Linked DNA regions of Macaca mulatta. The protein of the gene in region 1 interacts with the protein of each later gene in a pairwise test. Links are inferred from orthologs where the notes say so. Each region holds a gene or a part of one and is shown in the gene's direction. Other genes may lie near its edges.

Evidence for each region.
Region 2: the proteins of GOLGA2 (region 1) and NDN interact in a two-hybrid assay, tested with the Homo sapiens proteins (2 studies listed by BioGRID and IntAct). The link is inferred for Macaca mulatta from reciprocal best matches to the Homo sapiens genes GOLGA2 and NDN.
Region 3: the proteins of GOLGA2 (region 1) and C1H1orf35 interact in binary tests that used the Homo sapiens proteins (3 or more experiments, as listed by UniProt). The two-hybrid records come from large-scale screens. The link is inferred for Macaca mulatta from reciprocal best matches to the Homo sapiens genes GOLGA2 and C1orf35.

What each region holds. Positions count from the first base shown.
Region 1 is NC_133420.1:19,418,372-19,421,883, forward strand, and holds part of GOLGA2 (golgin subfamily A member 2), read left to right. Parts: intron 1-1,125; coding exon 1,126-1,230; intron 1,231-1,487; coding exon 1,488-1,531; intron 1,532-1,650; coding exon 1,651-1,714; intron 1,715-2,133; coding exon 2,134-2,193; intron 2,194-2,376; coding exon 2,377-2,457; intron 2,458-3,325; coding exon 3,326-3,364; intron 3,365-3,512. UniProt on the Homo sapiens protein: Peripheral membrane component of the cis-Golgi stack that acts as a membrane skeleton that maintains the structure of the Golgi apparatus, and as a vesicle thether that facilitates vesicle fusion to the Golgi membrane.
Region 2 is NC_133412.1:6,264,576-6,268,221, forward strand, and holds NDN (necdin), read left to right. Parts: upstream 1-1,225; 5' UTR 1,226-1,339; coding exon 1,340-2,305; 3' UTR 2,306-3,146; downstream 3,147-3,646. UniProt on the Homo sapiens protein: Growth suppressor that facilitates the entry of the cell into cell cycle arrest.
Region 3 is NC_133406.1:85,852,808-85,856,915, reverse strand, and holds C1H1orf35 (multiple myeloma tumor-associated protein 2), read left to right. Parts: upstream 1-1,308; 5' UTR 1,309-1,403; coding exon 1,404-1,497; intron 1,498-1,577; coding exon 1,578-1,728; intron 1,729-1,938; coding exon 1,939-1,984; intron 1,985-2,066; coding exon 2,067-2,149; intron 2,150-2,234; coding exon 2,235-2,307; intron 2,308-2,451; coding exon 2,452-2,537; intron 2,538-3,140; coding exon 3,141-3,275; intron 3,276-3,355; coding exon 3,356-3,476; 3' UTR 3,477-3,796; downstream 3,797-4,108.

The sequences.
Region 1 (3,512 bases):
TAGAAGACCTCTAGAACCAGAGGCTTGGGTCAAGAGTAAGGCCAGAGCCTCGAGAGAGGCCGGGTGGGGCTCTGATCAAGCAGGTAGGTCCAGTTGGGGGCGAGGGAGAGGCTCCATGTGACCCCAAGTTCTGAATCCTAGGATTGTCCCCAGGTACAATTCCCAGGAAAGAGGCCCCATAACTTCCAAGTTGCCAGGAGCCATAGGGCAGATGTCTTACCTCTGTTTTCTTGGGTGGTTTCTTGGTTGGGTAGATGTTTTTGGAGGTAAGAGGTTGGGGTGGGGGTGGTAGCCATGGTTTATTCTCCTTTTACCTCCAGATAGTTGGGGAGAGGCTTCTAGTTGGGTAATTTTTTTTTTTTTTCCTGGAAAGGTCTGAATCAGAAACACAGCCAATAGGCCAGGTTCAATGGCTCACACTTGTAATCTCAACACTTTGGGAGACCAAGGTGGGAGGATCACTTGAGCCCAGGACTTTGAGACCAGCCTGGGCAAGATGGCGAGACCACATCTCTATAAAAATTAGCTGAGCATGGTGGTGTGCTCCTGTAATCTCCGCTACTAGGGAGGCTGAGGTGGGAGCATTGCTTGAGCCCAGGAGGTGGAAGCTGCAGTGAGCTATGATTGTGCCACTGCAGGGGAGAAGGGAAGGGAGGAAAGGAGGAGAGAAGCAGGCAGATAGCTACATTGCCCAGACAACTACTTCCTCATCACCATCCTCTGCCCACTAGGGGCCCAGTTAGGGTCACTCTGCAGCACAGACTGGCCTTCTGGAAGAACAGTGCCTTTCTCCTCCCTGACTTTGGCACACCTTCCTCCCACCTGCTGTGGCTGCCACAGGTCAGTGCCTGCTGCTGTCTTTTGCTGAGCTCCAGAGAGAGCGAGGTCCTCGTGTTCATGAAGGAGGCCGTGCAGCCCCTGCTTTGAGCTTTGGCCATCTGAAATGCTGCCTAGCAGCCCAAGGCCTGGGCAACCATATCCACACCCCTGAGTGGCTCCTAGCATGTGTGACTGTCACTGACTGCAGCAACACCTGTCCTACCTGTTCCACACCCTTGTGTTCATGGCACTGAGGCACCTTCTATCCCGCATGGCCCCCTAACCCCCTGCTCTGTTCTGTGACAGACACCCAAGGACAATGCTGATTCTCTACAACCGTCTGATGACACTGTGTTACCTGGCGGTGTCCCTTCCCCTGGTGCCAGTCTCACTAGCATGGCGGTATCTCAGGTTTGTGCCTCCTCCCCCTCTGCCTACTCCCCTCCTGTACCTACTATGGATTATCTTCTCTTTTCACAGGTAGCTTGTTCCCTAGGGCCAAGGGCTCTTCCTGGGGAATGGGCTGGGGGAAGGCTCAGACTAGGCTTTTTCTTGAGGTCTGGGGATATGGAAGATTGTTGGAATGAGTTTGGGAGCTTGACTCACCCTGTCCTGGGTGATTCTTAGCAGACATTGAATGACCATCTCATACGTTTCTTCCCACACAGAATCATGATGCTGACAATGTCCCTAATCTCATGGATGAAACTAAGTGAGTGTCTCCTGTTGGGGCAGCAGTCTCTAGGCCGAGAGAGTCAGGGAGGCCACTGCCCATGACCTTCTTTCCCATTGAGCCACCTGCACCCCTGACCCCTGTGTCTCCATCCCTAGGACTTTCTCATCAACCGAGAGCCTGCGACAACTCTCCCAACAGCTCAATGGTCTTGTTTGTGAGGTACCTCAGGAATTGAGGCCCAGAGTGGGGTGCGGGGGGAAGGGAACTATGATAGAAAGAAACTGAGGCAGGGATTCACAAGAGAGGGAAGATCCTGGACCAGCCAATGTGCTGGGCAATGTTGAGGAAGTCGGCTTTTCCCTGAGCTTTCTCCCTTGAAGTTGTGCACATGAAGGAGTTGGACCCTGTGACTGGTTGCATCATTTTATCCTGCTGCAGAAGCACTGGATGAGAGGTGCTCGGGAGGGAAGGATGGTGGGGAAATAAGAACCATGAGAGAAGTTGGCACAAAGGGGTTACGGGACAAAGGGTCCAAGTTAGAAGAGAAAATGTTGCCAATTGCTGGGGAAGAAAGGAAGTCAGAGGGCTTAGACACTGAGGGGACAGAACATCTCCATGTGCACTCTCGTCTCTTATAGTCTACGACATGTGTGAATGGGGAGGGCCCTGCATCATCTGCTAACCTGAAGGATCTGGAGGTAAGAGGCCCTGGGCCGTGGCCCAGTGACCCTGCAGGCCAGCCCTCCAACCTCCTCCCATAGCGGGGGCTGGGTGCCCCTCTGCCAGCTGAGACAGCCCACACACCCCCCAACCCTAATGATTGCTCTCTCTACCTCTCCCCCCAATCCTCCTCCAACTCCTCCTCTCTGCATGCGCCTCAGAGCCGGTACCAACAGCTAGCGGTAGCCCTGGACTCCAGCTATGTAACAAACAAACAACTCAATATCACGATAGAGAAATTGGTAAGAGTCCAGTGGGGTCCCCTGATTCCACGCTGCTAATCCTGGGCTCCAGTTTCCCCTTGGGACCCTGAAGAAAGGGGCAGGGGGCCCCTGGTGCCAAGGGCGAATGGGGAGCTGGGGGGCCCAGGCCTCAGCTGGAGGGACCCCAGAGCACGGAGCATGCAGCATGGCTCTTCTGTTGCTGCCCTCTTTGCCTACTCTCTCTTCTCTAGACACCCCTGCTCGAGTCCTTGCCACACATGCCCTGGGATTGTTGCCTCTTGGGGAAGCACTAGCCTGACTGGTTGTCAGGAGCCCCGTATTTCCACCCTGACTCAGTCCTTAATTTGCTCTTGGATTCGGGACAAGCCACCTCTCCTTCTTGGGCTTGCATTTCCTGAGGAGGTAGAGTTAGAGAGTATCAAAGGTCTCTTAGCTCTGAGCGTTGAAGATTTAAAGGCCCACTAGAATGTAAACCTCAGGGCCAAGGGCTCCTGTCTGTCTTTTTCTGTCTGATATCCCTGCTATTAAGAACTGTACCTGGCCTATATGTGCTCAGCAAATGTTTGTTGAATGAATACACCTTTCTAAATCACAAACTGGCAGAGGGTGGGCTTTTCTCACACTCCATCTCTAGAGGTTTATGTTACTGTCCTTTCAAGAGAATCCAGATTCAGACTTTCAGTTCTGTGGTTGTGGGCAAAAACCAACAAAGACACAAATCCCCTTTCCTTGGGAGCCTGAGGAGAGTTGAGCAGTTCGTGTTCCCATTGGGTCTGAGAACTTTGCCTTTAAAATCCATTCCTGGCTCCTGCCTACCCCTTCCTGGTCTGGGGAATAGGGTTGAGGGGGCCACCCTCAGTCACCTTCCTTTGACTCTTCCCCACAGAAACAACAGAACCAAGAAATTACGGATCAGTTGGAAGAAGTAACGTGATTTCTTTGTTTGCTCACAACATGACAGCTGGGTTTGGGGGGCACTCAAATGTAGAGGCCTCAGTCTCGTCTCACCCGCTCCCAGCCTGGGGAAGAAGGCTCACCCCCCAAGATTCCACCCCATCCCCACAGGGTCCCTG
Region 2 (3,646 bases), on another chromosome or scaffold:
AAATAAAGTGACAAGTGGGAAAAGATACATACTCACAGCGAGGACTCTAGACATGTTAAGACAATTTTTAAATGTGCTTTTGGCTTCGAGTGGCAATAATTAGACTCAACATATTTAAGAAGCTACTGATGAGAAGAAACGCTGGAAGCGCTGAAGGACCACATCAGCCCAGACCAAGGATGCTGAAGCAGCATCAAGGCCCTTGGTTTCAGAGGCTCCACCAATGACCCTTTTTTCAGGGAGACCCTGTAGGAGCGAGTTTTGTCTTTGCCCAGTGGGAATCTGTCTTCTATACTTAGAAAACAGGGTTACCCATGTTGCCCCTGCTACCCTTGGGTCATCTCAGAGACACTACCAGATATTACCTATGAGACCTAGTTGTTTTTTTTTAAATCTCAGGAAGGACTTGGGTGTGGCTTCCAACGTGGAGGACTCAGTAGCTTCAGAGAGGGTCCTGGGAGAAGGTGAATCGGAGAATAAGGGTGCTGGGCAGAGGGAAAAAGACATTATTATACAAGTTTGTGCTAAAAGATATAGCAATCCTTCTGCTGTGGACTAAGTATGGAAAAAAATAAAATGGAATCAAAGTGACCCAAAGGAAATGTAAAACTCAAATTTATGCCCACTAAAGCATTAATGATGCTCTAAGTCCGCTGCCTACTTAAAAGGTTCATAGTTCACATGGGTTGACAGGAAATTACGTTAAGGACACGCTGCATTTCTCCTTTTCTTACAACCCCTCTGATTTGGTAGGGAGGGAGTCAATCATTTTTTTATTGGAATTTCTCAGGATTCCAACTTCAGACATACACTTTACACATTTTCTTGGACAAGCCCGACTGTTCCTCTCACTCGTTCGCATAAAGCTCAAGTTTACACAGCCGCCCAGACCTTTCTCTGGGACGCTCATATTTAACTTAATTCTGGATATATCAGGTAAGCGTTTCCCAAGAAACTTGACCCCAACATCCCAAAAACTTAAGTTATCATCTTTCTCCTAAACTGGCCCCTTCTCCAGTACGCATCCATCGCACTCTTCTCCTGCCCTAGATCCCCTCAGCCCAAACGGGAAACCCCGGGATCGCTCTCTCCGCAGGTGAAGCTTAGCCAGGGACCCTCCCCGTCGGGGCTCCGCGCTGCCCCGCCCGCCCCCAGCCGCTGGCCAAGGCCGCAGTCGCGCAGGCGCAGTGCCGCGTCCCGCCGCCGCCCCGCCCTGCCCGCCGCTGCGGAAGGCGCCGCGCACAGCAACGCGCACTTCCTCTCCAGGAATCCGCGGAGGGAGCGCAGGCTTGAAGAGCTCCTGGACGCAGAGGCCCTGCCCTTGCCAGACGGCGCAGATATGTCAGAACAAAGTAAGGATCTAAGCGACCCTAACTTTGCAGCCGAGGCCCCCAGCTCCGAGGTGCACAGCAGCCCTGGGGTTCCGGAGGGGGTTCCTCCGTCCGAGACCCTGGCAGAGCCGCAGAGCCCTCCTTTAGGCCCGACGGCCGCCCCGCAGGCCGCGCAGCCTCCCCAGGCCCCGAGCGACGAGGACGACCCGAAGGCCCTGCAGCAGGCCGCGGAGGAGGGCCGCGCCCACCAGGCCCCGAGCGCGGCCCAGCCCGGCCCGGCCCCGCCAGCCCCGGCGCAGCTGGTGCAGAAGGCGCACGAGCTCATGTGGTACGTGCTGGTCAAGGACCAGAAGAAGATGATCATCTGGTTTCCAGACATGGTGAAAGATGTCATCGGCAGCTACAAGAAGTGGTGCAGGAGCATCCTCCGGCGCACCAGCCTCATCCTCGCCCGGGTGTTCGGGCTGCACCTGAGGCTAACCAGCCTGCACACCATGGAGTTTGCGCTGGTCAAAGCGCTGGAGCCCGAGGAGCTGGACAGGGTGGCGCTGAGCAACCGCATGCCCATGACAGGTCTCCTCCTCATGATCCTGAGCCTCATCTACGTGAAGGGCCGCGGCGCCAGAGAGAGCGCGGTCTGGAACGTGCTCCGCATCCTGGGGCTGCGGCCCTGGAAGAAGCACTCCACCTTCGGGGACGTGCGGAAGCTCATCACTGAGGAGTTCGTCCAGCAGAATTACCTGAAGTACCAGCGCGTCCCGTACGTGGAGCCGCCCGAGTACGAGTTCTTCTGGGGCTCCCGGGCCAGCCGCGAAATCACCAAGCTGCAAATCATGGAGTTCCTGGCCAGGGTCTTTAAGAAAGACCCCCAGGCCTGGCCCTCCCGATACAGAGAGGCTCTGGAGGAGGCCAGAGCTCTGCGGGAGGCTAATCCCGCTGCCCACTGCCCTCGCAGCAGTGTCTCCGAGGACTAGCCAAGTCTGGAGGCAGATGAATGCTTTCTGATCCTCACCAGGGCTGTGGAAGGGTGGGGGTGGGTCATTAGAGTGTTCAGGATTTACAGTGCAGTATTCACGTGTAACTTTTACGTTTTCAGTACAGTGCTTTTATACCTTTAATGCAATGTTGTGTTCATTTGGGTACTATTGTGTAGTATTTAGGATGTATGCATGTTTGTTTATATGTAAGCTTGGTTGGTGCTTTCGCTTTTGTGGTACCTTTCTTGGATTTTTGTATCAGAGACGTGCTAAACTGATGAAGTACATTGAGAACGTTTCCATCTTATTAATTTACATGGGACTGAGATGTGTGTTGGGGTAGACTGCTCCTGCAGAGTTTGGAAAAACTCACCAGCAAAGCCGGCCTAACCAAGAAATGTCAAGGCCCTCATGACCTTGCTGGGGACTGAAAACATCCTCGTGGAGTAAACTAATTTGAACTGGACTGGTCTCAATGTGAGAGCACTTGGCACACTTTACTAAACACATATACAACCCCACCGTGAGTCAACTTTAAAGTAAACATTAAAGATTCTTGTGATACAATCATTTCTGGAAGTGTACGTTATCATTTTAACAAAGCAGTATGGTTGGGAATGAGACAATTCTCTGTTTTACAGTATACACAGATATAACTATTTCCCCTAATGGGGTGGGAAAAATCGCTACTCATGATTACTCCTAAATTTGTGAAGTTTGTAGTTTTGTCTTTAACTCATGTTTATTTCAAAAACATGCACAAATATAGAAAAGCATAAAAAACAAAACAGTAAGATTGTCCATAATCACATCCTATGGGAATAAAAACCAAAAATAATTTCCTTCCCTTAAGTTTCTACATTTTATCAAAATTAATAGATGCTTTGTGGGCACTTAAAGAGTGAGACATTGTACATGAGCCCTGACGTGTATTTTTCTCCTTTTATCTAATCCTCACAACAGGCCTGTCAGGCAGGCAAGAACTGCCTCTGCACCATGGAGGAAACACAGGAATAATGTAGGTAATGGACTTTCCATAGCTCATACAGGTTAATAAGAGAAGGCGCTAGGACTAGAACTCACAATGAATCCAGAGTCCACATTTGTCCCCACCTGCCTTCAACTCCCCTACACCCTGTGGTTTTTAGGTTATTTATTTTTAACTTTATATTGAAATTTCATGTGGGAGCCCACACTCACATGGGTTCATGGGCCACACATACAAAAAGGCTAGGAATTTTATTTTTCTAATTCTTAGGATATTTTGGAGAAAGCAATATCATTCTGATTCTGCAAATTAAGAAACTTACTTTTGGAGAGATTAATTAACCTAATAAA
Region 3 (4,108 bases), on another chromosome or scaffold:
TGGTGAGAGAAATGAATGTTCTCTCTAGGTATGTCCATGGGGAGGGGGTTGTCGAATGGAGTTTATATGAGGGTTTAAGGAATCTGGCTCAGGCTGGGTCCAGTTTCTTTCTGTGTTTTGAGCAACAACCTAGATGCTGTCATCTGTGCCTGGGAACGTTCATGGCTATGGCTCAGGTTCAAGTCTGCAGACGAAATTATACCGTTGGCGAGGTCACAGAGCGGCTAAGGGACTCTGCTTCTTGGTCACCACTGGGAATGAAAGTGGAAAGGTGAAGCAGGGGGATGCCACAACCTCCAAAATCAGGGTGCCCATCATGCTGAGGTTCTGGGAAGGGGTCTCTTCCAGACTACAGACTTCCCGCTGCCTTCGCACAGTGGAAAGCTGCACAAAGCTCTCGGGTCTCTTTTATGAAGGCTCTGTCGTCATGACCTAGTCACCTCCGAAGCACCAACGCCTTGGGTTGGGGATTTCACGTGGGAGTTAGGGTGCACATTCAGTTTACCACGGCAAGGATGGGACCAGTGCTCTGAGGGTGTCTGGGTAGCTGCTGGTTCATCCAGAAGTTTACTGGGTAATACTCAGAAATTCCACAAATCATTAGGGCATTACCTTGTTAAGCTCCCCATATGGAATCGCGGCTGGCAGTGACCAATTGGCGGTGTTAGCTAGGCGCATCCTGTGTGTTTTCTTTTTTTATGAGACAGGGTCTCGTTCACTCGCTCAGGTTGGAGCGCAGTGGCGCGATCTCCTGGGCTCAAGAGATCCTCCCGCCTCAGCCTCAAAGCGTTGGGACTACAGGCGCGCAAGCAAGCGCGCGCCCGGCCCATTTTAACTTTTTTTTTTTTTGAGACAGAGTCTCGCTCTGTCGCCCAGGCTGGAGTGCAGTGGCGCGATCTCGGCTCACTGCAACCCCGCCTCCCGGTTCAAGTAATTCTCCTGCCTCAGCCTCCTGGGTAGCTGGGATTACAAGTGTGCACCACCACACCCGGCTAATTTTTGTATTTTAGTAGAGACGGGGTTTCACCATGTTGGCTAGGCTAGTCTGGAATTCCCGACCTCAAGCGATCCGCCTGCCTGGGCCTCCCAAAGTGCTGCGGGAGCCACAGCGCCCAGGCCGGTTTTAACCATTTTTAAACGTACAGTTCAGAGGCGTTCCCGCGCTGGGCAGGATAGGCGCAGTGCGCAGGCGCCCAAAGCCTGCTTGAAGGTGACGCGCGGGAGCACAGAGCCGGGGCGGTGCGCTGCGCAGGCGCGCGGGGCGAAGCCGGGTGGGCGCCGGGTGACGTCACGGCGCGCGACGCGAAGGCGGGGTCGGGCCTGGGTCCTACGGTAGTGGGTACAGAGGGTCCGGGGTTGCGGGTCGCAGGCCGCAGGCCCCAGGGAACTGCCTCCCGGGCGCCATGTTCGGTTCCAGTCGCGGAGGCGTGCGCGGCGGGCAGGACCAGTTCAACTGGGAGGACGTGAAGACTGACAAGCAGCGGGAGAACTACCTGGGTCCGTGGGCGCGGTGGGCGCGGTGGGCGCGGCGGGCGGCCTCCCGGGGGGCGCTGGGCTCACGGCGCCTACGTCCGCAGGCAACTCGCTGATGGCGCCCGTAGGCCGCTGGCAGAAGGGCCGCGACCTCACCTGGTACGCCAAGGGCCGGGCGCCGTGCGCGGGCCCGAGCCGCGAGGAGGAACTGGCAGCAGTGCGGGAGGCGGAGCGGGAGGCGCTGCTGGCCGCCCTGTGAGTGTCCGCGGACATCAGCGGTCGGTGCTTGGGACTTCGCTGCCGGGGCAGGGTGGGGCCAGGGGCGGGGGCTGGGGGTCGGGCTGGGCGGGGGCGGGGCTGCGGGGACTTGCGCGGGTGGGACCCTCAGGATGAAGGCTGGAGTGGTGAGGACCCGTGGTGGGAGGAGGTCTGTCCGTCCTGACGCCTGCTCTGGTCCTCTCGCAGTGGCTACAAGAACGTGAAGAAGCAGCCCACGGGCCTGAGCAAGGAGGTAACTCCCTGGAGTGGGGGGCACGTGGAGGGCCGTGGGTGTGGGGCCGTCCGGAACGCTGCCTGTGCTCCCGCACCTGCAGGATTTCGCGGAGGTCTGCAAGCGGGAAGGAGGCGACCCGGAGGAGAAGGGCGTGGACCGGCTGCTGGGGCTGGGGAGCGCCAGGTGCGAGCAGGTTTCCAGGGGAGGGCAGAATTGCTCGGGTGAGGCGGGCCCTTGACGGACTGTCTTCATCGCCGTGTTCCTGCAGTGGCTCCGTGGGCCGCGTGGCGATGTCCCGAGAGGACAAGGAAGCCGCCAAACTGGGGCTGTCTGTGTTCACGGTAATTCCCCGCCCCGCCTGACCGCAACAGGGGCCAACAGGGGTGGCGCAGGGCGGGGGCACTGAACGTAGCTCCCCGGGGCGCTGCGGGGCGTGGTGTGGGGCCGGCCCTCAGACTCTTCCCCAGAGCGCGATTCTCCCGCAGCATCACCGCGTAGAGAGCGGCGGGCCCGGGACCTCGGCAACCTCGGCCAGGAGGAAGCCGCGGGCGGAGGATCAGACGGAAAGCAGGTGAGGCTGCACCTACTGGGCGAGCTGCGCGCCGGAGGGGGTCTCGGGAGGACCTCAGCGGCTCCCGCTCCGGCAGGTGGCAGCTTCTCTTGGCGCACCGGCCCGGCCGGTGGCCTGCCCTACTTTACTTCCTGTCCCACTTACTCCTAGGTTTTTCTCTAGGGGAGTTTCTCGGGTCACCCTTGAAGAGAGGTCCTAAGTACTGGCAGTGGTCGCGGGCTGCGCCGTGGGAGGGCGCTCAGGACCTGCGGCGGGGCCTTTTCCTTCCATGGGTGGCACCTCCAGGGCTTCTCTTGGGTGGTGAGCCTGGGCCTGACCCCAAGAGTGGCCTGGTGGGTGCAAGTAGGAAGGTGTCAACCTGTCAAGGGCACAGCTGGGGTGTAACAGGGCCGTGCTGTGGAGATAGGGATATCGCATCAGTTTCTAACCCAGGGCAGCCACTGGCCACGTGACTGCATTACTGAGGAGTGGAATTGGTAGTCTGATTTAACTGATTTAAAGACGCACTTGTGGGTGGTGGCTTCATCTCCTGGTTGGGGTCTGTGTTCACTCTCTTGGCCTGCAAGACTAGGGTCTGAGGTGCGCCTTGTATCCTCCTTGTAGCTCTGAGAGCCACAGGAAAAGCAAGAAGGAGAAGAAGAAAAAGAAAAAGAAGAAACACAAGAAAGAGAAGAAGAAGAAAGACAAAGAGCACAGGCAGCCAGCTGAGGCTGCCTCCTCTCCCACATCTCCCGAGAGGTATGCCCTGGTCTGTGTCTGCCTCTTGTGGGTGGGAGCCTGGTTGACTCCTTCTGAGTGACTGCCCTTGGTCTCCCCAGGCCCAGGCACCACCACGACTCCTATTCCAACTCCCCCTGTTGTAAGAGGAGGAAGCGGGGACACAGTGGGGACAGGAGAAGTCCGTCTCGCAGGTGGCATGACAGAGGCTCTGAGGCCTGATGGCTGGACCCTGCTCACTGCTATTGTGGGACCCTGAACTCTCCCTTTGCCTTGCTTGCCTCCTGCCTCGGAAGCCCCTCGTGTGTGGGTGAAGCCCGGGGCTGCTCCTGTGGAAGTGGCTCTGGGCACCAGCCTGTGGGGCTAATGGCTAGACAGCTAGCTCTGGAAAACCTCCAGGTTTCACATAGCGGGGATGGTCCCTGGCTTGCCCTGTGAAGGTGAACCTGCCCAGAGGTACCAGTAGAAGCTGGACTCCCTCTGCCAGTAGAGACAGCAGCCATGGGCCTATGAGCGGTCTAACTGTGGCCAAGTATGGTGACCTCTATTTTTCCTTACATTGACTCTTTGTATTTCAATAAATATATTTTAAAAGGAAGGTGTATCATCCTAATTGGAAGGTCAGTGTCGAGTTAAATGAGATCCCACTGGGAGGTTGGAGCTGGGGTCTGTCTTCCAGGAGTCTGAGGCCTGGTGATTTTTTTTTTTTTTTTAGTTTCGCTTTTGTTTCCCAGGCTGGAGTGTAATGGCACTATCTCAGCTCACTGCAACCTCTGCCTCCCAGGTTCAAGCGATTCTCCTGTCAACCTCCTGAGTAGCTGGAATTACAGGCGCCTGCCACTACTCCCAGCTAA